Linked DNA regions of Notamacropus eugenii. The protein of the gene in region 1 interacts with the protein of each later gene in a pairwise test. Links are inferred from orthologs where the notes say so. Each region holds a gene or a part of one and is shown on either strand. Other genes may lie near its edges.

What was found.
Region 2: the proteins of CARD9 (region 1) and TCEANC interact in binary tests that used the Homo sapiens proteins (3 or more experiments, as listed by UniProt). The two-hybrid records come from large-scale screens. The link is inferred for Notamacropus eugenii from reciprocal best matches to the Homo sapiens genes CARD9 and TCEANC.
Region 3: the proteins of CARD9 (region 1) and KIAA0408 interact in a two-hybrid assay, tested with the Homo sapiens proteins (2 studies listed by BioGRID and IntAct). The two-hybrid records come from large-scale screens. The link is inferred for Notamacropus eugenii from reciprocal best matches to the Homo sapiens genes CARD9 and KIAA0408.
Region 4: the proteins of CARD9 (region 1) and FAM161A interact in binary tests that used the Homo sapiens proteins (3 or more experiments, as listed by UniProt). The two-hybrid records come from large-scale screens. The link is inferred for Notamacropus eugenii from reciprocal best matches to the Homo sapiens genes CARD9 and FAM161A.

The regions. Positions count from the first base shown.
Region 1 is NC_092872.1:489,795,124-489,803,507, reverse strand, and holds the start of CARD9 (caspase recruitment domain-containing protein 9), read right to left. Parts: upstream 3,417-8,384; 5' UTR 3,314-3,416; exon of another isoform or gene 3,269-3,313; intron 1-3,268. UniProt on the Homo sapiens protein: Adapter protein that plays a key role in innate immune response against fungi by forming signaling complexes downstream of C-type lectin receptors.
Region 2 is NC_092876.1:377,331,098-377,338,919, reverse strand, and holds the start of TCEANC (transcription elongation factor A N-terminal and central domain-containing protein), read left to right. Parts: upstream 1-4,694; 5' UTR 4,695-5,131; intron 5,132-5,313; exon of another isoform or gene 5,314-5,511; intron 5,512-6,861; exon of another isoform or gene 6,862-7,080; intron 7,081-7,822.
Region 3 is NC_092873.1:211,371,906-211,380,171, forward strand, and holds the start of KIAA0408 (uncharacterized protein KIAA0408 homolog), read right to left. Parts: upstream 3,433-8,266; 5' UTR 3,161-3,432; intron 1-3,160.
Region 4 is NC_092872.1:642,870,718-642,878,494, reverse strand, and holds the start of FAM161A (protein FAM161A), read right to left. Parts: upstream 3,492-7,777; 5' UTR 3,414-3,491; coding exon 3,267-3,413; intron 1-3,266. UniProt on the Homo sapiens protein: Involved in ciliogenesis.

The DNA.
Region 1 (8,384 bases):
TAAGCTATCACCTTGAGATGATCCCAAGCTAGAAGGTGACTGCTCCCAGGCAAATCTTTGTTTAAGCCAGAATGTGTCCCATCACGTATGCCTGAAGACTCAGCAAGAGCTACCTGCACAGTGAGGTCAGGGGTGGTTATCCTAGATGCACCTGTGGCTGTAGAAGATACAAAGACAGATGCCTTCCGAATGTCAGAAGGGCTTGCTGCCTGGAATGCCCACTCCAATTTCCCTTTGCTCAGTCTAGACTACCAATTAGTCAACTTACATTCCAACTCATGCAATTCAATTAAAAAAAAGAATAGGCATAAACTATACCTGGGAATTCCAATATCTAGGGAAAACTTTATTGGAAAGATTGGGGACAATGCAAGGAAGATAGAGACTCCCATTGGATCATAAGCTCCTTGAGAGCAGGGACTGTCTCTTGCTTCTTTTGTTTCCTCTGTGCCTAGCACAGTGCCTGGCACACAATAGTGCATAATAAATGTTTATTAATTAATTGATTGGACAACACAAGACATCATTACTACTTGTTCTACCACTGATGCTGGTCCCCCAGGCCAGGTGGTTTGGGAGTTATATGCCTCAGCAGGGTATAATGGTACCAGCTTGGTAGGGGGAGAGGGAATGAACTGGAAGAAGAACATGAAAGCAACAGGTCTCTTGGGGAGGAGTTTGGGATTTGGACGGGTGGATTTATTTCTTCTTTCAAGGTAGCCACATCCAAACAAGATGGGTTTCTTTCCTGGGGTAGTCCTTAGAAGGCTCTTTAGGAAATCACTGGCAGTCAAGAGACAACCTTCCCTCCCAAGGGGAAGATGGATGTCTCCCTATGGGGAGAAAACATCCTTTCCTATACCAGTGACCATTAGTCTTACCTGCTACAGCTTTGTGTGTATCTGGGACACTTTGTTAGGTGTTGGGGGAGATACATCCCTGAGCCTATGGAGTTCACAGTCCAGTAGGGACATCTCCAGTTGGGGGATGACACAAACACATGATTAGAAAACACAATCTGCCATGATTTAGTATTGAGGAAGTACTGTGTGAGGTCTAAGCAAAGAAGCCTTCTCCAGCCTCATTGACCTTGGCAAGAATTATCTGCCACACAATCTGTTCTGCACCATTCCATTTACTTTAAATGTGTTCCCAACAAAATTTTAAGCATTGGGCATGTGATGGGCGCATTAATAAATACTTGGCCCACTTGATTTCTGTCCCTCAATTGTCCCTGTGGGCACTGGGGAGCCTTCCACATTTTGAAAGTAACCTTCCCACTATTTACAGCTAATAAAGGAAATTAGCTGCACAAGGCTACTTCCTTATGAGTGAGGCAGTGACACAGCTATCTCTGCTCTCTGATTTACAACAGACTCATTTCCTTTAATTCTTTTCCATTGCATTTTTCCTTTCTCGTTGCCTGGCTATGGAGTGATGAAATATTCCTTTTTATGATCCCTGTCACCTGAGAAGCCAGGTCATTAAGCCTGGGCCTTCAGCAGAAAGCAAGAGTGCTGTATTAGTATTAAATATAGCTATTCAGACACTCATTTCCCCTAGTCTGCTTTCTTATAGAGCTAGCCTAGTTTCTCTAAAAAAAAAAAAAAAGACTTTAGAAGCACATGGCATATCCACCTTACTGGTCTCTTAAAGAGATACCATAGTGCATTAGAAGGGAAACTACACATGGCCTCCATAAGACCTGGGCTCATGTCCTGGTTCTGCCACTGAAGAGCTATGGCCAAGACATGTAAACTTACAGAGGCGTGGTTTCCTCATCTATAAAATAAAGTGGTTGGCTGGATTATCTCAAGACTCTATTTAATCTGTCTAACTACAGACTCTAATAATCTATAGTTCTCAGGATATTTTCCTGTTCTGAACTTTACCTTTATAAACTCAGTGAAAATACTAACTTAATGACTTACTCCAAACCCCCTGGAAACAGGGGTTTGAAAAGATCATATAGTGGCACACTTTGCAGCCGTTGTGGGCAGTTTTGTGTACACTAATTTTTTTTAAAGTTTTATTGTTACCTTTTGTTTTTATACCACAATTATTTTCCTTTAATCTGTCCTCCCTCCACATCCCCAACCAATAACCCCAACATTTCAGCAGAGCTAACAAAGTGTCCCATCTAGTGGCATTATCACTTCCCTCACCCACAGTCCCTCGCCCCTCTACCTGAGAGGATGGAGGTGAGTTTCATGAGCAGTTTTCTAGGAGTGAGATTGTTTTCGTAATTCATCCTAGTTTTTAGAATACTATGTCTGTTACTCTTACAAGCTCTGTAAATTCCTCTCCACTGACCAGAAAAGCTGAAGATCCTTACCAGCTGAGTGAGGCAGGAGGAGAAACTTTGCAAAGGCTATCCCTCCCCTCAGCAGGCACACAAGCGATTGGAAGGACAAAACAAGGGAGACAGAGACTTTCATTAGCTTGTAAGCTCCCTCGGAGCAGGGACTGCTTTTTGCCTCTTTTTGTATCCCCAGTGCTTAGCACAGTGCCTAACCTCTGCTGGTTTTGATCAGAGCAAATTTTTGACTCAAATTATCCAGGTTACCCTTGAAATCCTTTCCAAGCTGCCTTGGCTGACTGAATTTGCAAATGACCTTTCATCTTAGTTTCTCAACTTTCTCCTATCCTTCCTTTTCATATGGGACTTCCGTCAAAATGAGAGCTGATTCTTACACTCAACGGGAAACTGGCACAGGGAACACTCTAACTCTTTTTGTCTTCTTGTTGGACCAAAATCCAAGTGCACCACACCCAACTTTGTGACATTTAATTTGATTCAAGGTACCAAGTAGATATGAAACATCTGAAATCCAGCATTCTAATCAGGTGTGAGAGGAAATAAACACAGAAGATTCTGGTCCTGCCTGGTAGCGACTGGCTTGACTGGCTCCCGGGGTACGTGAAACCCCCTATCATAGGATCCTAGAGAGAGCCTTAGAGCCAGAAGGGACCTCAGAAGTCATCTAGTCCAACCTCATATTACATATGAGGAAACGGAGGACCAAGGAGGTTAAGTGACATGGCCAAGGTCACACAGGTAGAAAGTTTCAGAAATAGGATTTGAACTCCATTCCTCTGGCTCCAGACACAGTACTCTTTCCACTGTGTCAAACTGCCTGTCCCTAATTGTGCATCTGTCCTATTAGACTACTCAGCGAGAGGTTAATGACCTTCCCTTGCTTTAAATTAATTCCTTCTGGCCAACTATCCCTCCTCCACTTCCTCCCCTCCCCCACTTCCCTCACTTACACACTTCCCCATACTCCCCCTTAGGATAACAAAGCCTTCTTACCTCTCAGTTTGTTCTTGGAGCTTCCAGCTTGGCTATAATTTAGCCTTCAATGTGCTAGTCAGCCCATTTCCTTGGTCCTCCGACCTTGATAGGAAACCCTACTGGCTACGCAATAATCTGAGGGAAGGTGGAGTCAGCTGGGAAAACCTCTGCTATGAGGTACTTCCTGATGGGGTTCCAGTCAAGACATTTTTTGCTGGTATTTCTTCTTCTGACTGGTCCATCAGAGTTCTGGGAGGGAGAGAGGCAGAGGGCGGAGTTTGGAAAAGGAGAAGTAATCTATTTTTGAGGAGAACTTGAGGTATGTGGTATCTCAGCACCCTTTGGGGAACCATTTTGCATTGTCAGCACCTCTGGGCTCCTCAGGTGTTTACCATGGTTCAGGGGGATGGAGAGCCACAGAGAAACACTGTATCCTGGCTTGGCACTTCCCTCCACCCCTCCATGCAAGGTGAGTGTCCTGCCTTGTACTTAGAGCATGTATTAATAAGAATAACCAGCCATCTGTGCTACTGTCTGCAGGATTTAGGCATTAAAATGTTTCTTTAGAGGAAGGAAAGGTGCACCTGTCCCTTTTGTAAACAGTAACTCTAACTAGGGTAAGATAACCAGGGCTTTACTTCAGCACCTACATTTTGTGATTGGGAGGGGATCCTCACCTTCTCCCTCCTCCTTCAGGACCTTTACCCCACTACTTCACATCTCAAAGTCCTCTGCTAGCTTGTGCAATCCTGCTTCCTTACCAGGTTCTGTCACCAGAATATTCCTTGTCTGGGGCCCATCCCAAAGTGGGCATAGATAGTATTTCTTGGTGAACAGGTCTTCTCCTCTCCCAATGCAACTGCTCTGACGGGCAAACTGTTGCCTGAGCTGTCACTGTCACCCCCAGTTCCCCTGTCACTGTCACCCCCAGTTCCCCTGGTCAGACCATCCTGTTTACTGACACTACATTTGGCATTCCTCCCCCACCCCACACAACTCCCTGAATTAGTTTTGCCCCAGGTAAAAGAATTTCTAGTTAACAGCTCTGGTTAAGGAGTGGCCAGGGAAAAAGAGAACAAAGCCATACAACAATGAAACCCCTGGCCATGGCCTTGTTAGCACCAGTTTAACCAGAAGGTGGTGCGTTTTTGCATTATCAATAAACCTGCCAACACCATAAGCAAAGGCAGACTCTGAGGTTAGCAGCCTATTAGGTGCGAAAGATGGCCCGCAGGCTGATTTTACCAGAACATGGGTGACTGCGGTTATGCCCTTACCACCTCTTGATATCTGAGCCACAGGTGGCCACCAAACTGACAGCTGACATACATTCTTTCCCCAAAGACAGAATTCCTCCTCTGGACTTTGCCCCTAAGCTGCCAGCAGCCATATCTTCCCTGTTCCACCAGGCAGGGAAGTTAGAATCCTAGGACTATAGATTTAGAAGGTGCCTAGAAGTCACCTAGTCCTCTTTTGCTGAATGAGGAAACTGAGGTCCAAACAGGTTTAAAGTGACTTGCCCAAGGTCACACAGGAATTAAGCAGTAGGTAGTAGCAGTGGTAGTGGTATCAGGATTCAGAACCAAGTCAGGATTCAAACACATGTCTTTTGATTCCAAAATTTGTATTCTTCCCCAGAGCCATATCTGGGAATTTTAGTTCATGCGGCAAACACTGTCTGGGGCAAGGGATATGGAATGTGCCCTAAAATTAACTTTGTAATGATGTAGAAATATCAGAAATAACAGAAACTCAGTTGAGTGGGAGGGTGAATTTGTTGCTTCAGTGGCTTAGAAGACAAGAATTTCAAAGCTGCAAGGGACCCCAGAGGTCATCCAGTTCAGCCTATGAGATCTGAAGGTCCATGCTCTTTGTATTCCACTAGATTAAGTGTTGGGGAGGTTCCTTCTCACATAACCTAAAGGAAACAAACCAGGCTCTTTACTCAACCTTGATTGGGGAGGGAGGAGGTAGAAGTTGGTCTGGTCCCCTTGTAAGAAAGGTGAAGCCTTGGAGAGAGGACAGGGTAAAGATGGAGGGAATTTTTTTTTTTTTAAGGGACAGGAGACAGGGATAGAACAAAGAAACTTCAGTCTTCTGTCCCTGTAACCCAAACTACTTCACCATCGCTTGGCTAGCTTTTGAGATCCCATCTCCTATGCAACAGAAGTTAATTTTCTCTCAATCTGCTAACTTTCTTAGTCTCCACATTTTCTATACTAGGGCAAAAGTCCAGCTTCACCCTTCCCACTGCAACATGTTGCCTGCCTTGGCAGACTACTTTTAAAAGCATATGTGACCTCTCTGCTCCTAGGTGAGTCAACATAATTTACAACTCCATTGTCCTAGGATTTGGAAGCCTTTCCTAATCCCCTCAATTCCCTCCCCAGCTAAACTAACTTGAATTTAACTACTTTCTATAGATTTGCATTTATTCACCTTATGCAAGGTATATTTTTGGAAGAACCAGTAATTATGCTGTATTTTTAGTTATTTGTTTTCTCCCCCATTATAAGTTCCTTGAGAGTGGGTATTTCATTCTTGTATTCCCTAGTACCTAACATAGTTATCTGGTGCATAGTAGGGACTCACTAAATACTTGATTTTCTAGGAATTCGGGGGAATGGGGGGGAGAACAGAAAAATGTGAGGCAAAAATCTCCAAATATGGTGTTTCTTTATGCAGCAATGGTGAATGATGGAATTTGGGAGGGACAAATATGCATCATGAATGTCTATCAACTGCTGGGTATCTGCCTGGACAGTGCATATCTCAAACAGGAAGGGTGGGAGCCAAAGGCCCATTATTAATGCCTAGTTAATCCAGTTAAACTAAACTCCTCCTCCTAGACATTTTCCTGCTAACATGAAAGAAAGTAGATATGGTGTTCCGGGAGAGAGAAGTGGAAGCTATGTCATGATATAAGACTTTTTCACCTGGTCCCACCCTAAGATAATTTTACCTCTCACCTAACTGCTACCCAGTCTGTTTCTTTGAACTAGCTTCTTGGAAGAATTGTCCTTGGAATCTTTAGCCCTTGGAATTTTTGCTGGTGGGCCATCATCGGGTATTAATGAGATACATGGTGATAATATTTAATATAAAATTTTGGAATAATCTCTTTGTTCTCTCTGAAGCAAACTCAGAGAATGCCTCTTCCTATGTCAGCAAAAGCCAGCCAAAGCTGACTGCATTCCTTGGGAGACCTTTAACCTAAGATACTATCTTAAATAATGGGACTTCCCTTTATATCTTATTATCTATAGACACATACTATGTTATGGCATATTAATGGTAAAGAAAATATAGGCATCCTGGGTTTCTATTGAACATTGTTTGCCCCTTCCTGTGTCAGTTATCTGTTTAGGGCAGGAAGCCTGCCACTTACTAGTGGTGGGATTTCTTTTCTTATCACTGAGACATATGCTTACCCAGCCTGGAATCCCAAGGCCTGACTGACATTGCTTTGTTAATTGTCCCGTCTTACTCAATTTATGATTTGCTTAATTAGGAGAGTTTCTTTCTCACGACAAAATGTACTTAAGACAGATGATTTCTGTACTAGGTAGTCAGTCACCTCTGACTCCATAGCGCTATGTAACTGTTTTCTTTATGGGGAACTGATTAATTAATTAAATCATAAAATGTATGCATTTAGCCTGTTGCCTTTTCTTTAACCAAGTTTTCAGGTCAACAATGGGAATGTCCTGTATATGTATATAGAGGAGTTAACTTTAGTTGTGAATTGTCTGTAGCTTCCTGGGTTTCCCCACATCCCAGCCGCTTGCAAATGAAAGGCAGGCTTGAAGATTGGAAGGGGACGGTTCAAGGTGAAAGAAGACCAAGAATAACAAAATACCTACCCCACTAACCTCACAGGAAGGTGAAACTTAAAACAAAAACAATTATAAGGTAGTTTATCAGAATCGACAAAACCAGGAAGACCCAAGCTCCAATCTTGCCTCTGTTATTAGCTGTGTAACCATGAGTACATTTTCTCAGTGCCCCAGCTAACTCTTTAAAAGGTCCCCCCATGAATTGGTCTGAATCAGTGAAGGGAATTTCCCTATGAGGATTAAATCACAGGACCACACAAAAACAAATTACCAGATATTATTTTTATCAAGAGAGGGAAAACTAAAAGATACGAGTTTTGGTCAGGTGTACAAATAAAAGCAACCCCTCTAAGCATAATGATTTACCAAAAGGGCAAGAAAAAGAAAATGGGAGAATGATCTAGCTTAGAAAAATCATCAGTCTTCCAGGGGTGTCATGTTCCAGCAATGTGAGTCAGCACCTAGAGTGGCTTAAAGCACCCTGAATGCTGTCACTCTGTAGTACAGAATCACACTGTACCAAAACCCAGCTACCACCAGATTCCAGGAAAACAGGAATGGGGTCAGCCTGTACGGTCTGGAGGGGAGAAAGAAATGGAGGCATCTTCCTCTGAACTGAGAGGAAGGCATTTGAGCATCTTCTTCTCTTCAAACGATGCCTTGATTTCCATCCAGAGACCTTTGGCTACTTTCTCAAAAATTTCTAGCCTATTAGAGCATCCCACTTTTTGACAATAATAAAAAAATCAACATGCTTCCCCTTTTCCCCTAACAGAAACAAAAAACTCGAAAGTTCAGAATGGCTAGTCATTTATGTATATGAAGACAAGTGCCCAGACCAGATAATAGGGTTACAGAACTCAACACTGGAAGATACTTTGGAGATCTAGTCCAGGGGTGTCAATGCATACATAAAGATCCCTTAACTTAGTTTTAAAATGTAATGTTATCTATGTTTTGCTGCATTTTTTACTTATTTGTTAAATATTCCTAATCACATTTTTATCTGGTTGGGGCTGCATCTGGTAGTGTTAACGGGCCACATATTTGACACCTCTGACCTAGTCTAACCCTCTTATTTTACAGATAATTAACAACTGGCATTTATATAGTTTTAAAGTCTACAAAATACTTTCCCTACACAAGTCCTGTGAAGTAGGCAGTGTAAGTATTATTCTTCCCCATTCTTTACAGTTGAAAAGACTGAGCCCCAGAGTCATGTCTCGTAAAAGATCAGAGCTATAACAAGGCTA
Region 2 (7,822 bases), on another chromosome or scaffold:
AGGAAGGGACACAGAGATCACACATGAGGGGCACATTTGTAGGGAATATAAGTAAGGCACACAGAAGATCAACTCACTTCCAATGCTGTAGGGAAAAACCACTGTCTTCCAGTAATATCATCATGTTGTACTGCATTGTATTTTAAATTCAATAGAACTTTAAAAACCATTAACTGAGAAGCTATAAATTTTTAAAAATTTTTAAATTTAAATTTATTTTAATATCAATTTATTTTTAAATCATTTTTAAAAATTTAAATTACTTTTAAATTTTATTTTAATCTTATTTTTAAATTTTTAAAAAGAGAGCCAAAACTGTATTTCACTTATCCGATTTATTTCAATAAAGGCTCGGTTTACCCCCATAGTATTGCACTCAGTATAGTCAAGAATTCTTCATTGTGTTTGGCAGTTTCTTCTATTTATTCATATCTTTAACCTTAGTTTAAGGAGTTATGCTTGGGTCAAACTCAATAGTCCCACTCCTAAGTGGTGTGGAAAGATCCTGCATGGACTTTAGTGGTGTGGCTAAGACTAAACTCTGTTTGTGGCAGAAATTGTTTGGCATTGTCTCCTGTTATGGTTTAGACTTAGGCTGAGTTGGATCCTCACTGCCTTCAGGGGTGGGGAACCTGCAGTCTCAAGGCCACATGTGACTCCCTAGGTCCTCAAGTGCAGCCCTTTGACTGAATTAAAACTTAACAGACCAAATCCCCTAATATATAAGGATTTGTTCCGTAAAACTTGGACTCAGTCAAAAGGCCTCACTGAAAGACCTAGAAGGCCACATGTGACCTCTAGTTCCACAAGTTCCCCAACCTTGTACAATTAAACGATGCTCCCAAACCTGTCCTGCTGCAGCTAGGGTTCTGAGGCTGCCCTGTGCTGGTCACTGGCCTTTCTCCCTGTAGAGTGTAGGACTGCAGTTTTAGAATTCTACTGAGGATGTTTTGAGAATCTGGGCTTCTCTAGGTCCTAATAAAAGGCCATCTTCCTATAATTCTCCCAGTAATCTCCCCTCCTAATTTATGAGAATGAACTTCAGAAATGCATTTTGCTATTTCATATTTTAAATAGTAAAAAATAGTGTCTTATTGAGTAGTTACTGATTCATAGTGCACAATCTATGCTAACAAAATCAAAATGGAAAAAGTCTGCTTTTAAGTCGTATTTCAAGTTGCAAGTTGTCAAAGTTCTTATTTTTCAAAAAGTGAGCATAATGCTGCCCTCTGCTGTACAGTACTGACACAATAGTATTTTTTAATCACAAATTTATCTAATATAATTTAAAGCCAACCTACACCATAAGAATAAACTCTATTTCATGCAACAATGTATATGTTGTTGACAAAAACGTAAATACCCCTAGAGAAATTTTCATTTCAATAATTATTGAGTACTTTACCTTGCAAAGAATTGCACTAAGCAGTCTTCCAGGTAGCTGGTGAATAATCAGTTTAACAATTCAATCATTTTAACCACTTGGACATGGAAGGAAGGAAAAACATAAGGGCAACGGGGGCCCAAGGAAGAGAAGAGGTGGAGCAGAGTTTATAAAGGAAAGCATCACCATCCCTTCAGTCACCTAGGATTACAAACTCTGCACCATCCTTAATTCTTTCCTCTCTGTTGAACCTCCCAATTCCAATCAGTTATCAAGACTTACTGCTTCTATCTTTACAATATTTCCTTCCTCTCTACTCTCATTGAAACTACCCTTGTCACCTTCTACCTGAACCACTGAAGTAGCCTCCTGACTGGATTCCCAGATATCAGTCTCTCCTCCCTTCACCCCTACCCTCACCTTCACACACACCCCACCCAGTCCACCCACCCCCTGCATCCATCTTGCATACAGTTGCCAAAATAACCTTCCTTAAAAACCAAGTCTGACAGTATCATTGGCCTGCTCTAGAGCTGTGAGGTACTCCCTACTGCTTCCAAGATAACCTATAAACTCTGGGCCATCTCTGGCTGTCCTGATGAATGCCATGCCACTGGACCCAGATGGCTAAGGAGAAGAAAGTGAGATTGGTGACCTTGCACAGCCCTCCCTCACTCAAATCAAAGTCTACTGAAAGTCATGTCATGAGGTCACAATCCTCTTCAGGAACAAAGGACAAACACAACAACAACAATAAATTCCTCACCTTGCAATATAAAGCCCTTCATTTTTGAATTCTGATTTAGCTTCCCAGGGTTTAAAGCACATTAGTCCCATTCACACAGTCTACGTTTCAGCCTTTTCCCAAAATGGGCATTCTATCTCTGCTTTCTGTATTTTCACATTGGCTATCTTCTCTACCCAGAATGCACTCCTTCCTTACCTCTACCTCTTCAAAACCCTGGTTTCCTTCAAGGCTCAGCTGATATTCAGAAGACTTATAGAACCTCCTAGTTGTTAGTACTTTTTCCTTCTTACTCCAATTAATGTATGTTTTTACCTGTTTACATATTACATCCTGACAGTATATTGTCAGCAGAAGCTCAGAAGGAGCAGCATGGTTCCCATTTTTCAAAAATTATCTCCAGTGCCTAGCAGAGTGTCTTATACAGAGAAGGCACTTAGTAAATATTTGATTGGATTGGTTGGTTTGGAAGCTGGGAGGTAACAACACAAATTGACTGGAAGGTAACAAATACAAAAGACGATACAAACTACTCTCGCCAAGGACTATAGCAATAAGGACCATATGCTACCACAAACTGATTGTTGCTGATGTCTAAATTAAAATATCGGAATGATTTTTAAAATTTATTTTAGTTTTCAACATTCACTTTCATAAGTTTTAAATTTTTTCCGCACCCCTTCCCCAAGATGGCATGCAATATGATATGGCTGTACACATACATTCCTATTAAACACATTTTCGTATGTCATGTTGCATAGAAAAATTATAAAGAATGGGTACATGAGAAAGAAAAAACAAAACAAAAAAAATAAAATGGTCTGCTTCGTTCTGCATTCCAGCTCCATAATTCTTCCTCTGGATGATAATGGCATTACCACCATGAATCCTTTGAAATTGTTTTAGGTCCCTGCATTTCTAAGTCTATCAAAATCAGTCACTGCACACTGTCAAAATGATTTTGAAAGGTTTCAAACCTCATTTTCCTCCATTTCATCCCAGTATTTCTAATCTAGCTTTGTCAGGTCCCAATCTCTTCATCTCAGCAAAATCTTCTCCTGTTCACTCTCCCTTGCTAAGAAGAAACAGAGAAACGCGCGCGCACGCGCACGCGCACGCGCGCACGCACGCACGCACGCACACACACACACACGCACACGCGCACACACGCACACACACACACACGCACACACGCACACACGCACACACACACACGCACACACGCACACACGCACACACACACACACACACACACACACCCCTTTTATCCTCACAGCCTTATTATCAGTACATTGTCCAGTTAAATCTTTGGAACTTTGGAATTTTACCTTAATGACTCAGTTGATGTTAGGAATAAGGGAGAGTAGGGTGATAGAAATAAAGGTAAATACTTGGTAAGACTTCTAAATGGTGATTTATATGACCTAGAGAAGTCATTCAATTGTAGCATAGCCCTCCCTACCTTTTCTCCCAGTTACACCTAAATTTAAGGTAAACTTTATGTTAGTATCCATTCATTTCCACAGCAAATAGGCTTCCTGATACTTCCCTCTTTTGAGAAGATATTCTGACTCAAAACAAAGCCATTTAATAGCTTTGGAAAATAATGAGAAAAACTTCCCCATATACAACAGGCACACTCTTTCACAGATTCCCATACCGTTGATGGGAGAGGGAACAAAGTGGTCTGACCAACTCAGAATCCTAAGATTGTGCCCCAGATGAATTATGCCCTAGACCTCCAAAACTCCCAACTGTTTTCACCAAAAAACTTCACCAACGCGCTGATGATGTCATCTACTAGGCTGTTTTACTGAATAGAGCTTGCCATCTGCTACTTCTCCACTGCCGGGGGCCTCTTTTCCACAGAGGAATGGTTAAAGCTCTTTTGCGAATCATCTCATAATTTCAGTGCTATTTGAGTTCTTTTGTGAGTCCATACTCAGCTAGAATAGCAAGACTCTCTTAAGTCAAATATATATTTTTCTGATTACTACAATTCCTCCTAAGTCAAAACTCTCCCATCTCTTCCACAAAGTTTCCCCATTGACTATGAGTTCCTTGAGAGTAAAAACTGCTGGGTTTTGCCTCTCTTTTTATCCCCAGAGTGTTTGGCATATAGTGGCACTTAATAAACGTTCACGGATCTCTAATTTTCAATCTTTTCTTTGTAGGATTACAAAAGAAACCAGTTCTATTGCAAGTTATACAATTTTTTAAGTTCATGAACCCCAGGTTATGAACCCCCAAGGGGATTCAACACTGAGATGCCATCCAATAAATATTTTCCCCAAAGGCAAATTCTAACTTCGTGCCTGTATTTGCCTGCCCTTTCAGATAACGAGAAACGTTCAGAAACATGTGCTCCTTCCACAGAAAGAACTTGAGATGAAATATTTCCCAACCAATTTCTAACGGAAGAGGCATCTTTTTTCCTGTCTGGTTACAATCCAGGTTTATAGCAAGGTGTCCAACAGACACTGAGTTAAGCAGCTGGAATGTGCCAGGCACTAAATCAAGAACAAAAAACTAGGCCCCGCCTCAAGGGGCTCCCTTCCTCTGGTCTGGCCGGCTGTCAGTCCGTCATTCAAAGCATCAGGAAAGTGACGTCATGACTTGCAAGTGAATTGGATTTAAGTGAGGAAGTCTCGTAGTCACGGAGAGCTGACGTTATTAGGTTCAACTTAAATGTGCATCTGGGATCTTGGGCCAAATAAAAGGGAGATTCCTATTCCTGACTGAGATGACGCAGTCGGAAGGCACGGCAGGGAATCCACAGAAACGGGAAGCAAAGAGACTGATAGGACGGGCGGAAGAAAACTCCGTAGATCGCACTGCGCATGCTTCAATCACGTATGCGTCTCGCCTTGGCTCCTCTGATTGGTTGAGCGTCTCCCCTTCTCTCCAATCCTCTTCTTCCTTTCTCTCCCACCCTCTGTGAGCAGAAGTCGTGTCCGGCAGGCTGTTAGCTTCCCCTAACTGTCGCGTCTACCTGCGGACAGGTGAGCAGGGTGCGAGGGTCAGCCCTGGGGAGAAAGGCGAACCGCAGGAAGCCTCCCCTTGGACGCTAACGAGGCAGTGGGGAAGGGAGCTCGGGGACGGTTACGGCCCCGCCTTTTCCTAGCAGAGGTGGGGGTTGGGGGGGGAAGAGGGGAAGGGCGCAGCCGCAGTCCAGGCTTCTCGCGCCTCCCCCCCGTCCTGTGACCTCTCCGGTCACCCCCAGCCTTGGCTTGGCGCGGGGGACGGGCGTTGCATTCTGCCCCTCCTCCCGTTTCCGGTGTCCCGCTGCCTCGGGCTGGAGATTGCTTTAGTTTCCACGGACTCCTAGATGTAGACTTAGAAGGGATCTTAAAAGCCCCTGAATCCGCCCCTCGTTTTACTGGTGAGGATGCTAAGTTTAAAATTCGATATTCAAAAATATTTAATTCTTGTGGAATTGTTTATTCCATTTTATTCAAGTTTTTAATTTCCCACACTTTTGTCTGAGTTTCAGCAACTAGAAAGGAATTTTTCTCTTTTAACTCTTTTTGAAGGTGGGGGGGGATTTTAAATTTGAGATTTTATTGTATTCCAGCGAGGGAACCCCCACCTTGACATGCAGCTTGTAGAGTGAGCGGGCATGCTGCTGTTACTAAGAACAAAGGCAGATCTGTTTTCCAGACATGTTGGACCTGTACAGTGTTGCCAATACCATGCTATGAAGTGTGAGAGATAAGAAAAGGAGTTTTTAGTCAGTTTCTCGTACCTCCTCAACGCATGTGTGAAGTCAGGTTAAAATCAATACTGGGGACAAAAGTTACAATAAAGGTCATATCAAAGGTTTGTCTACAAGGGGTAGAGCCTTTTTTCTGGGGATGGTGGGAGATGGGGAATATAAGTGGAATTTTTTTTAGATTATCATTCAACACATTTTTTAAGCATTTCTCTATGTCAGATGCTAGGCTGATCTCTGGGGAAGTCACAAAAAAGCCGAACAAACCGGTCCCTACTCTCAGATTTTTTTTTTAAAGCCTCAACTGAGTTTCATACTCTTAAGGGTGGGAAGTGAGCTAAAAAATAGGAAGTGTAGTTTAGTGAGCCAGGATTGACTGTGTTATCTTCATCCATATGTTACCAGAAACATTTTCATTGAATACAGTTCTCAATGATTTTATACCACCCGTCCTCATTCCATTTTCTGAGATTAAGCAAACTTGCAATCTAGTTAAAGATTACATTTCTCAAAACAAAGTGAAGTGTTAAGGTAATTAAGTGACAGGCAGGATTATGAAGATCATCCTTTGTAGGTCCCCCAGCATTGTTGCCCCTAGACTTTGAGGGGAGCCTTTCACCAATAGGTATTTCCATCATTGACAGCTTGTCATATGAGGATGCAGCTGTGAAAATACATATGATTGGTTATTTAGATATATTTGGAGCTAGTTACATCACAGTGTACTTACAAGTAACTTTTACTATCTGCTTCCTAGAATTACTCCAAATTGTAACCATGTTCATTACTGTTCAATTGAAATAGGAACCCCCTTGAAAGAACTTTTTAGTTCTTTAGTTTACAAAGTAAAACTTGCTCTGTAACTAGGAAGAAATATAAAGTCTAGAATGCAGAAAAAACATTTCTGTTATCAGTTAAGTGTGGAAAAACCTCATAGGAAATGGATAAAAAACTCTTGCTAAAAAATAAAACTGCAGACCTTGTCCCATACAAAGAAATCTCTGTCAATTCTCATTACAGGATGGTAGTTTTTGGGGATTTTTTGCGCGACAAAATTCTGAAGAGACACTTTCCCTGAAAGGCCAGTTGTCCACAGTATAATTCGAAGACTTACCATGTAACCATAAATGCTGAGGAACTAGAAAATGCAGACAAAGTATGATAATGCTGTCATTACCTTTGTTGCCACCGCCTGAGGACAGGAAAGATGATATAAGCTTACCCACTATGTATAGACAGGTAATTACAGATTTATAGCATGCTTAGCAGTATATAGCTTTCTCCAGTTAGTATGGAGTTCCCTAATACTAGAGAGCTATGCTTAGGTTCCTGAGTCCATTTTATTTATTAAAAAAATGATAATTTTTGTTTTGACACAGCAGACACTTTTCAACCAAAGCAGAGCTTCTCTCTCCACTAATCAACAAGAATTAAGCAATTGTTATTCATGGAACATAGAAACAAAAGTAAAACATCAGCTCCTGTCCTCAAGAAGCTTACCAGAGAGGCAATGTACATACAAGAATATACAGAGTATATGCAAAATGAATACAGGGTCATTTTGATAGGGAGTAAACTCTCAGAGAGGCTTCATATGAGCTGGAGCTGAAAAGTAATCAAGATTATGAGAGGCAGAATTTAAAAGAGAAAGAAAGCATCCCAGACCTCTAAAGCAGCCCATGTAAAGACTTGGAGACAGGAAATGCAGTTATATGTGTGTGAAATACCAAATAGGCTAGAATGGCTGGATCATAGAGAACATTGAAGGTAATAATATGTAAAAAGACTGGAAAGGTATAAAGGGACCAGGTTATGAAGATAGGTCAAACAGGAATTTATGTTTGATCTTAAATCTCTAGAATTTTTGTAGTAGAGTATTTTGTAGTAGAGAGTTTTTGGGAAATCAACAAAACTATCTAATGGCTTGATTGTTATTGATAATACAAGCCTGCTGTTTTTCTGATTAACAGGAAGGAAGGGT
Region 3 (8,266 bases), on another chromosome or scaffold:
ATTGAAGACAAATGATGGGATGTCATCAAGAGCTCCAAATATCTGTGTTGGGAATATGGAGCCTAGAGTTGGAATGCTGAAGGAAGAGCAGAGTGGTTCTTTGTCTAGCCCTGTCTTCTCAGCCCTCTAACTGCCCCTTCCCAGACACCCTTGTACTCATTTGATGTCCCCAATCTCCTGATTCTCATTTTGCCTTCATCCCCAAATTTTCCAGCTGATCCCTTTTCCCAAGATGATTTTTCAGATCCATCTTCACCCATTTCCAGGCTCCTGTTCGCCTTCCTGTTTTCCCTCAAATTTTCTTCCCTGATCCTTGAATCTCTCTTAGATCTCCTACATCTTTATAACCTTGTGTGGAGGGTAAAAATTGATTGCCCTTTTGACATAATTAATAAAGAAACCACCATACTTCTAAAAGGTAAAGGCAATAACTTGAGATAATAATTCGCTTTTTTGAAATACAGTTTTTCATTCTGGCCTTTACTTAATTGCCTGTTTTCCGAAAAGCCCAGTTGTGCATAAGCTCTTCCATTCTTACTCATTTTCTCTCAACAGTGGTAGAGAGTACAGAATAAATATTTAGAGGTAAGCTCCCTCTTACTTTAAATTAACATAGACAATACCTATACAACATTGGGCTGTAATAATTACTGTTTTGTTATAAAGCAGATATAAATATTATCAAACTAAAAACATTTTTTAGATGAAGAGAGCTCAGCAAGAAAACAGTGAGATGTCATAATAGGAAGCATATTAAAAAAATATGTGACCCTTGACTGTAGTCACTTTTTACTAATGATACTGAAGCAATTATAAAAGTCCATTCTGTTCCCAGCTCCTACAGACTTCTCTGTTGCCTCCTCTCCTACAGACTTTGGTATCTGTGTGGGAGAAGAGGAAGATTTCTAAGGAATATTCTCTGTGCTGTTTTAACTGTCCCATTCCACTCCCTTCAGATCTGGAGATTGGATCAAAATGATCTGGTGAAAACCATAAGAAAGTAACAGGAAAACCGAGTAATTCTATTACACCTAATTTTCTCTTATAGCTCTAACTGTGAGGGAACATGTGCTTGAAGACAATTAACCAATAATAAGAAAGGTAGCACAGCAGTGGAAATGTCTGGAGTCAGAGGTTCTGGGTTCAAATCTCAGTTCTGTCAGCAACCTGACTGATTGTGGGCAACATCACTGATTTCAGTTTGTTCACCTGTAAAAATGATGTGGTTGGACTCGATGGCTTTTGAGGCTCCTTGCAGCTCTACAACCTATGATTCTGTTTACTGAGTTATTTTTCAGTCACCTCCAACTCTCTGTGACTCCATTTGAGATTTTCCTGGCAAAGATACTGGAGTGGTTTGCCATTTTCTTCTCCAGCTCACTTTTTACAGATAAGGTAACTGAGGCAAACAAGCTTAACTGTCCATGGTCACACAATTAGTAGGTGTCTGAGGCTGGATTTGAACTCATGAAGATGACTCCTGACTCCTGATCAGGTACTCTATCCACTGTGCCATCTAGCTGCCCTTGATTCTATGATAAGTACCTGCTTATAGGTACTGAGTGAGGTTCTGGGGATACCAAGATAAAAAGAGGCTATAATGGAAAGAAGACTGACTCTGGTTTTAGAAGGCTTAGGTCCAAATCCTACCTCTGATGCTTACTAAGTTTTCTCATATGCAAAAATTAAGAGTTTGGATTAGAATAGCTGAAAATCTATGTCTGTATGTCCCTAGGCAAGTAACATAACCTCCATGGGCCTTAGATCTCTTATGTGTAAAATGAGGGACTTGAAGTAGATATTGTCTGAGATCTTGTACAGTTCTACATGATAAGTCAGAATCCTTCACCTCAGGAAGCCATTTCTGATAACTTTCCAGACCAGGATGACATGAGCCAATTAGTGTTACCACAGGACATTATTTTCATTGCTATTACTAGCCAAAACCATGCCTTCTAATTAAAGGGATGCTCCATCCTTACTTTGCCTCCTCTTTAAACTACTACTGCCTTTTCACCCTTCATAACTCTTGGGTTTTTGTTGTTTTTCACTCATTTCAGTCATATTCAACTCTTTGTGACCCCCTTTGGAGTTTTCTTGGCAAAGATACTGGAATGGTTTGTCATTTTCTTATCTTGCTGATTTTACAGATGAGGAAACTGAGGCAAATACAGTTCAATTACTTCCCCAGGGTCACACAGCTAGTAAGTGTCTGAGGTTGGATTTGGACTCAGGTCTTCCTGACTCCCGGTTTGGTGCTATATCCACTGTGCCACCTAGCTGCCCTAAAGTTTATTTAGGGTAGGTTTATTTAAATTTATTGAACTTGAATCTATTAAGCATTATCAAGTTAGATGCACACTTTAACAGTAACCTGGCTCTCTCAAAAGGACTCTCTCCTCTACTAAGTATTCTACCCATGCATATATAAACATCTTTTCTGCAATTTAAAACTTAAAGAGCTTTCTGGACCTTGGAAGGCTTTGCACAGGGTCACAGAGCTAGTATGTATCAGAGGCAAGACTTGAACACAGGTTTTCTGACTGAAAGTCCATTTCTCCAGATATAACATAATACTGCCTCTCTTTCAATAAAAAATAATAAAATAATTGATTTTAAAATAAATGTTTGACATAAAAATGCAAGTATCTAAAATTAATTTGCCTTTATGTCAGAGGATAATGATCCCCCCCCCCCTTTTTTCAAGACATTAGCCTGTTATGGATAACAGGTTTGATAATTTGATAAATATACTTAATGTTCAATAACAATGATAAGCTTGGATGAAAGTGACTTTATTTACCTCTAAAATCTTAAGGCTGAACATTTTGTGAACTGTACATTTAGAAAAATTAAACCTCCCTAAAGCTCCTTTCTGAAAACAGTGTCAAACAAAAGAAGCCAGACTACTTGATGGCATTGTTAGCATTTTCTCACTGGAAAAAAAAATCAAAGTCTAAAGACACTGTCTAAGTAGCTGAAGGGTTTTTTCCCTTGGAACTCAGTGCAAACCGTTACTACATACCTCATTGTTTTCAAGCAGAGACAGATGTTTAAATAATCCTGGACTCCAGCAGTTTCAAGTTTTAAAACATAGCATTCCCTCTCTAGTTTATAACAATTAGATGCTCACTTTTAGGTTTCCAGAAATAAAACATACCTTTTTTTGCAGGGAGGAAATCCTTTGAAAGTTCTGTCAGTCCATTGGTAAATCTAGCAGTGAAAAACAAGTGGAATGTATAGCTATGAGAACAGGAAAAAAAAAAATTTCCAGCTCTGTGAATTTCACTCCTTTAGGAGACACCAAAGCGGGAACAACAATTCAGCACAGCAACACTAAAGGCTCTTTGAATTCTTCACTACTTTTACAGAGTGAAAAAAAAACAAAACAACAGTTCAGCTCAGCGTCAGACCAGCAGCTGGGACTGGTGTGACGTCAGTTATGGGGAGGATGGCCTTAGAGACACCTCTTCCAACCCCAGCTCTGTAACTTTAGATCTGTTCATATTTTGTGTAAACAACTTTAGGTCCAGGACATTTTTAGCTTTATAGTGTAGCCCAGCATTTTCAAGCACGCCAAAAGAACTGATGTTAATATCAAACGGATGACAATGGCCCATTTTAGATCCTTTTTGTTAGGGAAATTTAACTCTTGTTTTCAAGATCTTGATTTTTTTTTTAACTACATGCAATCTCAATGTATATATGTCAATGTCTCCTGAAGTTGTGTGGCTAGGTTCTGGTACACCAAATCAGGCATTCTCTACTTACTTGGTGGATTTCAAAGGCAGGGTATGTGGGGTGGGGGGAAAGGGGAGAGAAGGGGCATATTGTTCTTTCCAACTCTACAGTGCTCATACTCTAGGATTAAAAACCTAGCCATTTCTAATTTTTTTATATGAAGTACCACTTGGAAAATATGTTTCTTCTCAGATGATATACGACATGTTTCTCTTCATACTTCCCTATGCCATTCTCCAAGCTAGTAATTCTTTTTTTTTTTAATGCTACTACTATATACTGCTTTAAGGTTTACAAAACACTTTACCTATATTATCATAGTTAATCCTTACCATAATTCTGTGAGGTTTCATGTCAAGAGACTGAGGTTCATAGAAATTGTCACCTGTACCAAGTCATACAGCTCAGAAAAGTCTACGGTGGAATTTGAATTTAGGTTTTCCTAACTCCAAGTCTTGTGCACTCTCTAATACACCAAGCTGCCTCTTGAAGCATTTATAGCTCTTTCTGTCCATGTCTGTATTGTGTGAAGGAGCAATGCAGCAAGAAGGGCTGCTAGGTGGCACAGTGTATTACAGTGCAGTCCTGGAGTCAGGAAGACTCATCTTCATGGGTTCCAATCCAGCCTCAGACACTTACTAGCTGTGTGACCCTGGGCAATTCACTTAACCCTGTTTGCCTCAGTTTCCTCATCTGTAAAATGAGCTGGAGAAGGAAATGGCAAACCATTCCAGTATCTTTGCCAAGAAAATCCTAAATGGGGTCATGAAGAGTTGGACATGATTGAACAGCAAAAAAATGCATTCCTTACTGTCATAATAAGATTGACCCTGTTAAATGTTTGCTCCATTTTGATAAACTCTTCAGCAGATTTCTAGCTCAAATTTGTCAATAAAGCAAACTTTACATATCTTGTCAACTGAGACCAGAACGTAAGCAGCATAAGACACAGTGTAGAAAGCATACAAGTGATTGCAAATATTTTTTAAGTGCCAGCAGTGGGCAGTATTGATGTACTTACAGAATGCTGGACTTGGATTCAGAAGGAAATAGTTTTGAATTCCTCTTCAGATAGCTGCATGCCCTTGGGCAAATCAGTTTCATAATCTGTAACACTTGTATAATAAGAACTCTGATGTGTTAGGGTTGTAAGGATCAGATGAACTAGACTATATGTAAAGTACTACGTGAATATAGTTACTATTGATTTTACTATTGTTACCATTAGGTGCCCTTTACCTTCCTAAGATTTTTTTGGCACAACACTTTTGCTCCTTTCTCTCTGTCTCTGTCTCTCTCTGTTGTCTCTCTCTCTGTTGTCTCTCTCTCTCTGTCTCTCTACACACACACACACACACACACACACACATAGTTATACATAGTTACGTGTGTGTGTATGTATGCATTAATAGATTTGAGTAATAAAAGCTGTGAATGCTTTTTATATCGTAGATATATGTATGTAATTGGTCTATGTTTGGAAGGGTCACTAGAGTTCTCATCTTTTGGTTATAAATATGTGATGCCTTCTGTTAAGTAAATGTACCAAAGAGAATACTGGTAAAGTATTATTATTGTGACTGTTGTTACTGCTGCTGCTGCTACTACTGCTACTATCACTACCACTACTACTACTACTACCACTACTACTACTGCTGCTGCTGCTGCTGCTGCTATTACTATGGTAATGACAACTACTACTACCGCTACCACCTATGTTCAAGCTCTACCTCTTATACATATTGACCGTATGACCTATGCAAGTCATTTATCTTCTTAGTGCTCTATACAACCTTTTAAGATAATCAGTTGCAGAAAAAGTACCGACCTGCACTGGAATATCACCGAAATCCCAGGGTTGGTCTTATCTAACAATAAACACAACAACAGTATAGCGTGGTGGATCTGGATTGAAAAGACTTTGGGTTTAGATCAAGGCAGACTTAAGCAATCCACTCTTACTTCCCTGGGCCTTAATTTCTTCTATAAAATGGGAGGATTGGATTGGATGACCTCTAAAGTGCTTTCAGCTCTAAATCTATGATTTTTTGTAGTTTTATTTGTTCCCACTCATGTAGATTGGGCCAAAGAAAGTACCTTTTTTAACTGGTTACCCAGAAATGAGGAAGAAAATTCTATTGATGCTTAAAGATTAAGCTATAAGAATCTAAGTCTTCGTTGGCCCTGTTTTTGATACATTTCCTGTAACAGAAGTTAAAAGAGTCCTGTAAAAAGATACATCTCCAGTAATCTCCATGGTTTTGTCTGTTTATAGATGAGCATTACTTCCACGAGAAATAACTGGAATAGAGGTCGTGGTGGGAAAGACTTTATGTAGACAGCAAGAAGATATTGGAGGTATATAATCACTAGTGAACATGCCTACTGTTCAGTGCTCTGCCCTTGGTCTTCTCTTCTCTCCTACCCTCAGTTATCTCATCCACTATCATAAATTTAATGCTCACCTATGTAAAGGACTCTTCTAAAATTTCTGTTGCTAGTTCCACTTTTTGTCCTGAGTTCCAATCTCCATTTCCAATTGTCTACTGGACATCCCCATGTAAATCCTAAAATATGTCCCAAAATGAACTCATTGTTTCTGGATACCATTTTTTCCTTTAACATTTCTATTTCTGGTGATGACATCACCATTCTGCTCACCACCCAGATCTAAAACCTAACCATCAGTTTTGACTAATCCACATGCACGTCCAATCCATTGTCAAGCCCTCTGATTTCTACCTTTGACATATTTCCCCCTTTTTACCCATCTCAATACTTTCTGAATATCTACAATGATTCTCCTAACTGGCTTTCTTACCTCCAATCTCTTTTTCAAGCCATCCTTCCCACGGCTACCATGGTAGTCTTCTTAATTCATTGACTTGCTCACTCCATTCCCTAGCTTAAAAAATCATCAGTTGTTTTCTATTGGTTGCTGAATAAAATAAAAACTCAAATTGGCCTTCAAAGCTGTCCACAATCTGGCTCTGGACTATCCTTGCAGATATTTTATGGTCCTCTATTCCACACAGCCTGCACTCTGGCCTAAGCCAACTTCTTGTTAATCATTAATTTTTCTTGAGCTTTCATAAATTTTCACACACTTGGATAGGACCCTCCTCCCCAAGATAACACTGATTGAAATCCTTTTTGTCTTTTGAGATCCAACTTAGGTACCAAGTTCTCTATGAATGTTTCTCAAATTTCACCAGTTAAAAGACAAAATCCCTCCCCAAATCTCTAATGGTACCATGATTCATATCTCTTAAGAATGGAATCTTTTTCTAAATAGTATTATATTATTTTTTCTGTATCTAATAAAAAACAGCTAGCATTTATACAGTATTTTAAAGTTGGCAAAGCACTTTATATATTATCTTATTTGACAAAATATTTCATTTGATATCCCCTACTAGACAGTTTGATTTTGACAGCAAGGATTATGTCATCTTTATCTTTGTATCTTCAATACCTAGCAGAAGGTTTTATACAATCAGCCAGACAATTAACATCTATTGATCACCTGTTATGTTCTAGATACTGTGTTAAGCCCTGGAAGTTCAAAGCCAGGCAAAACTAAACAAAACAAAAAACAGTCCTTGATCTAAAAGAGCTCACAGCCTAACAGGGAACACAACATGCAAACGTTATCTATTAGGCTAATAATTCTTTATTGAATTGAATTAAATTGAGGGCAATTTAAACCAAGGTAACTGATAACATTATGTTCACTCACACTTGGCCTCTGGGGTTTGCTGTATTATTTGTATATCAAACTTAATAAAGGTTGTTTTCTAAATCCTTCCAGCTTTGGTTATGTTGCATAAGAGGTGATTCATAACAGTAAACCTCAAGGAGGAATTCTTTCCTTTTCCCTTTTAAAACAAGTTTCAATGAATAATTAACATAGGTGCTTTGTGTCAAGGCAAGAGACTCAGCAACTATGTTTAGATAGCATCAGTGGCTCTGATTGGATCTTGACAGGTCCGCTAGTCCAGCTCTAGGATGCCATGAGCAAGGTCATATCTAAACCATCCCAGACAGATGACAGTTAGTTCTATTTTAAAAAATCTCTAAAGAAATAGATTCCACAGTGTCTATTACCTGCTCACTCCAATGTTTAACAACCCTTGCTACTGGAAAATCCCTCCTTATATATGTTATGGTCCTTGTGCTACCATTTACACATGAAGAGCAAAAAAGGAGCCAGTTGAAGTGACAAGACTCATGAGGCAAATAGTTTCTCGGTGTATCTTTAAATCCTTTCAGGAAAAATAAGAACAACATCTTAAGATGAGTACTTGGAGTTCTTACAGCAATATAAATAAAATGGAAGATGTTCTTCTGAAGCAGGGATCACACAATATAATACTCCATAATAATATTCTGATCTTTCCATTGCTATTTAACATTTTAAAGCAGGTGTCAGAAAAGCTCAAACTCTAATGGAAAAATACTGCACTTATGTAAAGATAGTTTAGGACATTTTTGTACCTCTTAACCAAGTCACTAAATTTATTAG
Region 4 (7,777 bases), about 150 Mb from region 1:
GGGTAAAGAATTTTATCTCTGCAACCCCAGAGTGTAGCATAGCATATGGCAGGTGCTTACACTCTTGTTGACTGACTGAGAACAGAAGGGGTGGATTTGGGAGCTTAAAGGGGAGAAGCAGCTTTGGAGATCGATAGGAATAACGGTTAATTAGAGTAGAGTAAAAGACCTGCTGCTCAGAAATTGCCTATTTCTTGATTTCCGTCAAAAGCTTGGAGATGGGGGAGAAGGTAGACCCTCCTTTCTTCCTAATTTCCTTAGCTCTGTTAAGGGTACGGTCATCCTTTCTGTTACCCTGGTTTGAAACCTGTAGTCAATCTTGATTTGTCCTTACTCTGCCTCTTTCTATTTGTTGATAGGTGTTAGTCAATTATTTTTCCAAAGCAGCCCTCACATTGCTCCTTTTCTCTCCACTCACACTGCTGCTGTCCTAGGTCACAATTTCATTGCCTTCTGGCCTTCCTGTTTCAAGTCTTTTCCCTCTCCAATCTCATCCTTCATACAGTTGCCAAAGGGATTCACAGGCTGTCCCTTCATGCCCCAAGTGCCCTGCCCTCAAACCAAGTTTCTTTTGGAAATATCTGTATGTACTTCCTATGTATTATATATCTCTTTCAGTGTGTACATATGTATCCTACTATAGTATTTAAGCTCCTTAGGGACAGACTGTTTTGTCTTTGTATCCCCAGTGCCCAGCACTGTGTCTAGCACATAGTAGGCATGTAGGAATAACAGATTTCTGACCACTCTCTACATCTGTAAAATGGTGGGGTTAGTCTCAGAGGATCATTTCAGTACTAGTTCCATGTTCCTGTGATAGTCAACATGTTTGCTGAATTCAGCTGTCACCCTGCTAACTCCTCTACTCTCTTTAGTGTTTCTTCTCCAGGTATACACTACCCACTGGCTGGCTACAGTCTACTCCAAGCCCCCATATCACCCTTTTAGTTTTTAGAAGGGCTATAACCTGAGAGGTCATCTAGTCCAGCATCACTATACAAGTGAGGAAACAGAGGCCTAGACAGTTTAAAAGAAATACCCAAGGTCACACAGCTACTTAGAGGTAGAAATGGCATTTGAATTCAGGTCTTCTGGCTCCCCTACCCAGGGTTTTTGCTTCTATACCACATTGTGTCCCTAAACCACTTGTGGTGCCCTCTTAACTCAGTTAAGTTAAATTTGTATATTGCAAATTCTAAAAAACTTAGATTAAAATTAAGCAAACTGAACCGAAATAACTATACCTCATAGGGTCATAAGGACCAAACCTTCAAGTGAGACCTATTTATTATTAACTGCCTTCAGATTTAAATTTTCTAAACTTTTGGTTTTTGGTAGCTGAGAAGCTTCAGACATATGGCATGAATGCATTCTAAGCTGTGAGTGGAGATCTATACAAGTAGACTGATGGCTTTTAGCTGGAAGTTTTAGATGGACACCTGTTCAGTAGTGTATGTGAAAGAAATAAAGGGAAGTATATTCATCATCCAGTAGATAGGTGTTCTGGACACATAAAGATACTGAAACCTAAGCACAGTGCAGCAGAAAAGGCCCTAGCTCTGTAATGAGAAGACTTGGGTTCAAATCCTGCCTCCAGTGATTACTATCTGTGGGACCTTGGGCAAGTCTTTTCACCTCGATGAATTTCGATTTCTTCATCTGGAACATAATAACAGGGGGCCTCTCCACATTTTTCTGCCAAATGAGTTCCTAGATGGGTTCTGAAATAGAGGGGGAAAGCAAGGGGCAAATGCTGCCTTCCCCCCAGAACCCATGGTGGCCAGGGTGGGCTTATCCCCTTGCTGCCATCCTGATGTATTGGTCCAAGATGCACACAGGCTGCTGGCCTACTCAAATGGTTTGGGTGACATGGAGGTCACCAACTACCGTTTCCAGTGAAAGGAGACGTCCAGCAGGCCTTACCACCCACCCTGTTACTACATCCTGTCTGTCATCTGACCTAACCACATAACCTTGGAACCCTTGGGTCTTGTTGTCTGCCCCTCACCTCAAATCCGTTTAGGGATTTGGTCTTTGCCATCTGCCCTGCAGCTGAACTTTCAACACGATCACATCATCTCCCCTAATTAGAGTAGGAGATCCCTGAGAGCAGAGACTGTCTAGCCTTTTCTGCACATCTCCGAAGGGCTTAGCACAGGGCTTGGCTCACAGTTAACACTTAGCATTTTTTCATCCATCCATCTGTGGACCTCTAGATCCCTTCCCAATTCTAGATCTACGATTCTGTAATCTTTTTGACCAAAAACAAAATCTTAGGCACACAAGTGTGAGAAGAAGAAAATGACATATCACTAATTAATTCAATGATTCCTTGTTCATTTTTCCATCTGTTTTTTAGATTGAACTCTTGGTATTTTCCACAATACAATATCCAACTTGTCTTCCTCTGCATTTTTTTTTTTTTGCTAAATAAGACCCTACTATCAGTAAGCCTCATATAATACATTAACTTACATAACTCTCATTAGACAGCAGACTAGAGGCATGGTCAGAGTTGTTATTTTTCTACAGGCTTTCAATTATGAGGGCACATCAAACCTCAAGTATGAAAGTGGTGCAGCAGAAACAATTGTTCCAATACATCAGAGAAGTACTGAAGTCAAATAAAATAGTAATTTGTACTCCCTAAAATAAAATCAAGGCACTGCATCTAAATATACAAGAATTGTTTTTTAAAGCCGTTAGGTACTGCTTGTCAGTCAACAAGCACTTATTAAGCGCTTACTATATGCCAGGCACTATGCAAAGCTCGGAGATTAAAAGAGGAGTCCCTGCCTTCAAAGTACTCACATTCCAATGCTGGGGCAATATACACTTATCAGACATCGATGGTACAGATAAAGGCAAAAGTAGCTCCTGCCCTCAAAGAGCCCCCAGCCTAAAGGGGGAATTAACAACTATATCTGTACAAGATACCTCTGGCGTAAATAAATGGGAGGGGGGAGGGGTAATCTCAGAGAGAGGAAAGGCTTCTTGCCCAAGGCGAGCTTTGAGCTGAGACTTTTAGAAAGCCAGAAGACGAAGATAAGGAGAGGGAGAGCAGTTTAGGCATGGGGGAGGGCACAGGCAGTGCAAAAGCACGGAGTCGGGAGATGGCATGCTGGGATCCTTAGGCCACCTTCCTCCTCCCACTGAGAAGCATTTCGGGAGAAGGAAGGAGGATGACGCGGTCCGGCCGAAGGCCAGGGTCAGGGCCGGGGGTCTGCGCAGGGTCTCCGCCCCAGCCCCTACCCGGGGCCCCCTACCTCCCCCTCCTCCGCCGCCGTTTCCTCCGGGGTCCCGCCGGCGCGCTCCCGCTCGTAGAAGTCGACGCGTGGCGACCTGGAGCGCGGCTGCAGTGGGGCCTGGAAACCGAAGGAGGCGAGCGCTGGAGCTCGCCGGGGAGCTGCCATGGCTCCCGGACGTCGGCGCTTGCCGGCCCAGGTTGGGGCAGAGCGAACTCTGGGCCGGCAGGGGGCGGCTCCTCGCAGGGGGCGGGGCCGTTACCGGGACGCTGTCACCCGGGACGCCGCACGCCGCGCTACGGGAGCCCTCGAGGGACCTAAGGCCTCGCCTCGAAGCCCAGCGCAGGGAACCAGGGCTCCCTAGGGACAACTGCGAGCTCGTGGGGGCCTGCCCCCTCCCACCCCGCTTTTTTTAACCGTTGGCTCAAGAGTGTCCCTCCCCTCCCCTCCCGCCTCCAGGTCTCAGCGTAGTTGCCGGGGGATTAAGGACATGACGACTCGTGCGGATAGCCCATTAGAGGGCGCCACACAGCGTTCCTCGAATTGGTCTCCTTTGGGAAAGAAAACGCGCGCGCGCTCGATTCGGCAGGCTGCGCGCCCCCGCGGGAAGATGGTGGCCGCCTCAACCGACAGGGCTGCCGGGTGGGCGGGCGAAAGAAAAGGTATTGCTCCTGAGGATTGGCCAGCGGGAGCCAAAGAAAGGACCAACCGGGGAGCGACAGCTCTTTGTCCCTCCTTCTTTCGCCCGGCAAGGCCAATGGCAGCCCCAGGTTGTGCCGCACTTTGTCCGCTTTTAGAGAGAGGGACTGCGGGTTTCGTTTAGGAGGCCTCCTTTTACGGCGAGGCTTGTGCATAATGTATCCCTTTAGCGGCAATGTGGGGGCTCAGCCTGGGTAGCCAAGGCCAGGAAATCCTCCGGGCCTTTACCGCAGCGCTGGAAGATGCGGCCTTCTGCCCGCAGTGCGGGGCCGAACCCGGGCCCCGGATGTTGGGCGCAGCCAGCCCAGCCCTCCGGGGCCCCGTCGTCCTCGGCGCCGCCTTCCCTCATCCATTGGTGCCCCACCCGCCTGGCAGCCCCGATGAACTCATATTGGCTCTTCAGGAACGTGTAGGCCTGTGTCGGTTCTGATCCGTGTTCAGACTCGGCCTCAGAGGCCCGCTAGCTGTGTGACCCTGCCCGTCATTTAATGGCCTTTTGCCTCAGTTTCCTTATCTGTAAAATGAGGGTAATAATTACACATCTAACGACTTTGAAGACCAAACGAAAAGGATGAGCACAGGGACTGGCACACAGTAGATGCCAGTGCCAAGCGCTTGCTGACTCTTAAAATTGCTGTTATTACCGGGCAATAGCAAGTCCAACCTTCCTACGACAGAGGCGCTGTTGGAATCCGAGGGAGCGCCTGGAGAACAGAGCAAGAGCAAGGTGGCTGCTGATTAGGACCTTTGGGCCATGCTGGAGGTCCAGGAACGGCCGGTCAACCTAATCAGTCAATAATACATCACGTGGTACAAGCATCCCCAGCACTGATCTTCTAAACTGTTTCCCAGGGTTAGGCTTTTCACCCAAAAACGAGGCACTGGCTGATAACCAGATAGCAATACATGGGTGGGAAGCCAGGGATCAGAACTTGTGGAAAGTGATTTGAGGGCCAGGGTACATTCCTATGTATAAGACTATGCAGGAACAACTCTAGGGACAAGAGGCTGTGGTGGAAATCTGAAAAAGGAAACTTTATAACTCTTACAAGTTTAAATTTTTAAAAGAAAAATTGTATATAACTAGTTAAACTTACTTTGTAACCATAATCTCAATACATAAAATGTAACATTTTAGTCTAAATTAGGATTCTTTGTCCATTCTCATTCTTTTTTTGCTCTTAGATGGTCAGTGTGTACTGATCATCTGGTTCTTTTGTTACCTTTGTCAAGTTTTAAGATTAATACAAAGTTTTTTTAAACAAATAACCTATGTAGTTCAGGGATTCTTTGTTCTTCAAAAGTCTCAAAATCAGACTTCTGTGTGATCCAATTGTTTAACTGCCAAAATTTTGAAGTGCAACAGTCTCAAGTCTGTGTGGTTACTAGGCCTGCAGATGTTTGCTGACCAATTAAGGCAAATAAATGTGAAGGTATCATGGATGTTTTTCAAAGAATACCCAGATTTCCACTCTGCTTTGATAACCATATTAAAATGGTTTCTAGGACCCTTTATGTCCTCCACTTTACCCTCTTCTTTTGTAAGTTCTGCAAAGACCCTACCAACTGGCTGGAGACCAGTACATCTGTTCTTGGGCCACTGCTCCCTTGTGGTTTTACATGTATTGTCTCACTCGTTAGGATGTAAGCTCTTAATAGGCTGAGATTTTTCTATTTGTATACCCAAGCAATTAGCACTGCGTATAAGCACTTAATAAATGCTCTATCATTCCTTAATGAGAATGTGGGAATAGGACAAATGAGGCTTAGTACTATAGAAGTGCATAAGCTTGAAGTCAGTGCCTCAAGCCAAGATTTACTTAGCAGTTTGGCAATCATATTTTGGTAGAAGACCGTCTTATCAACAGAGCTTTGGGTTTTTTAAAATACTCAATGTATCAGGTAAGTTGAAGTACTGTGGGATGTTTTGCAAAGGTAATTTCATATAATCCAGCATCCTTAGGAACACCAAAAGCTTCAAAAGAAAATGGAGACCAATGGTCTTTTGAGGCGCGATGCCTTCCACATCCAGAGAAAGAACTACGGAATTCAACCGCAGCATGCAGATCATTTTCTTTTGTATTATGTTTTGGTTTGTTTTGTGATTTCTCCCATTCATTTTGGTTCTTCTATGCAACATGGCTATGGTGAGGATGTGTTTGATAGGAATGTATGGGTAGAACCTATGTAGGATTGTATGCTGTCTCAGGGAGGTGGGGAGGAGGGAGTGAAAAAAAAATCTGGATTTTATCGTAGTGATTGTAGAACAATGAAAAGAAAAAAATGGAGGTAAAAAAAGTAACAAATTGTGAACTTCATCAATCACACTGTTGATGTTTTTGCTCATGTGTGCCACACAGCTACTTGGTAGGATCAGAGCTCTAGCCTTTCTCTTATCCCAAAGTATAACTGGTAAATATGAAAGGTTACTTACTCCTTTAAATATTCCCATTTATGTTAAAATATACTTGCAGCTTGAAATAAGTTCTAAAAAAACAAGTTTTTGATGTTTCAGGGTCTTTTCTCTTCCACACAAACACTACAAATGATTTATACTGATTACATGAACTATGTGAATGTAAAGTGTAGGATAATGAAAGGTTTAATTTCACCATCCAATTTGACTAAATGTTATGTTATAGGTGGCTTAATACAAGATGACAAATTACTGCAAGGGTAACCATTTTATACTCCTAAACAACTAAAAGAATAAACAAAATAATGATTTAATCTAGTAAAGATTTAATAAAGGCTTTATATCAGAGAAATCACATTTTTTATTTGCCTTGTACATTCTTACCTTTTAAGAATTTTACTTACTCAAAAACTTTTCTACATTCTCACATACAGAGTACATTCCAGAAAGCATTTGAGACATAAGCATTGTAACTTTAGCTAACTGTGTACTCAAGACAAGTACTTAAAATTGTGGGGTCCCCTCCTAAAATAGCATGGCATGCCTGGGATAGTAGAGATTTATTTTCTATGAGCTTTTCATGCTAGATACAAGCACCTTACGTTTGGAAAATCAATACTAAATAATTGTTAACCATAAAAACACAACAAAAGTAGACAATTTAAGCCAAGGGGAAAAATCACACTAATTGAGATAGCTGAATCAATAATACGAATACAGGTTATGTAGTACCTAATTCAGATGGATAACAATATTTTTGCCCTCTAGCCCTGTAGTCCCACTCTCCCACGGGTGAGTTCTTCTTAGAAACTACATTTTGAGAAAGGAACTCAGCCATCCTTCATTCACTGGCCTTCACCAAAATAGCCCCCCTTCAAGGTTTCCAATAGAACTTTTTGGCTCCCTTGTCCTGGTTCTCTTACATTCCAAATGTAAGGTAAGGACTTAAAGGTAAGGACTATCTTTTTGCTTGTATATTCACCCCCAGTGCTTAACACAGTGGCTAGCACACAACAAGCCCTTAAATGCTTACTGACTTGACTTTTTTGCTAACTGGAAAACAAAATCCTCAAACAATCTGCCCATCTATTTATAGTCACCTCTGATCATTCTTTAAACTTATATAATTTTTCTTTAAATTCGAGGCAAAAAGATCACTTGTAGCGCTGAGGAAAAAAATGAGTGGAATTCAATGGCACACTCAACAAACAGGTACAGCCGTTTTTATTTTTCATAGAACTTTTGGAAATTCCAGGAATAACAACAAAATCTGCTTTCTTGAAACCAAATATTTACTATTTTTATTAGATTGTATTGACAATTTTCAGATGGATGACAACTGGAAGCCCAGGTGTAAGAACTCAGAAAACAAAGTCTTCCAAACTATTAAATACTCCACAGGGCAATACTCCTCCAC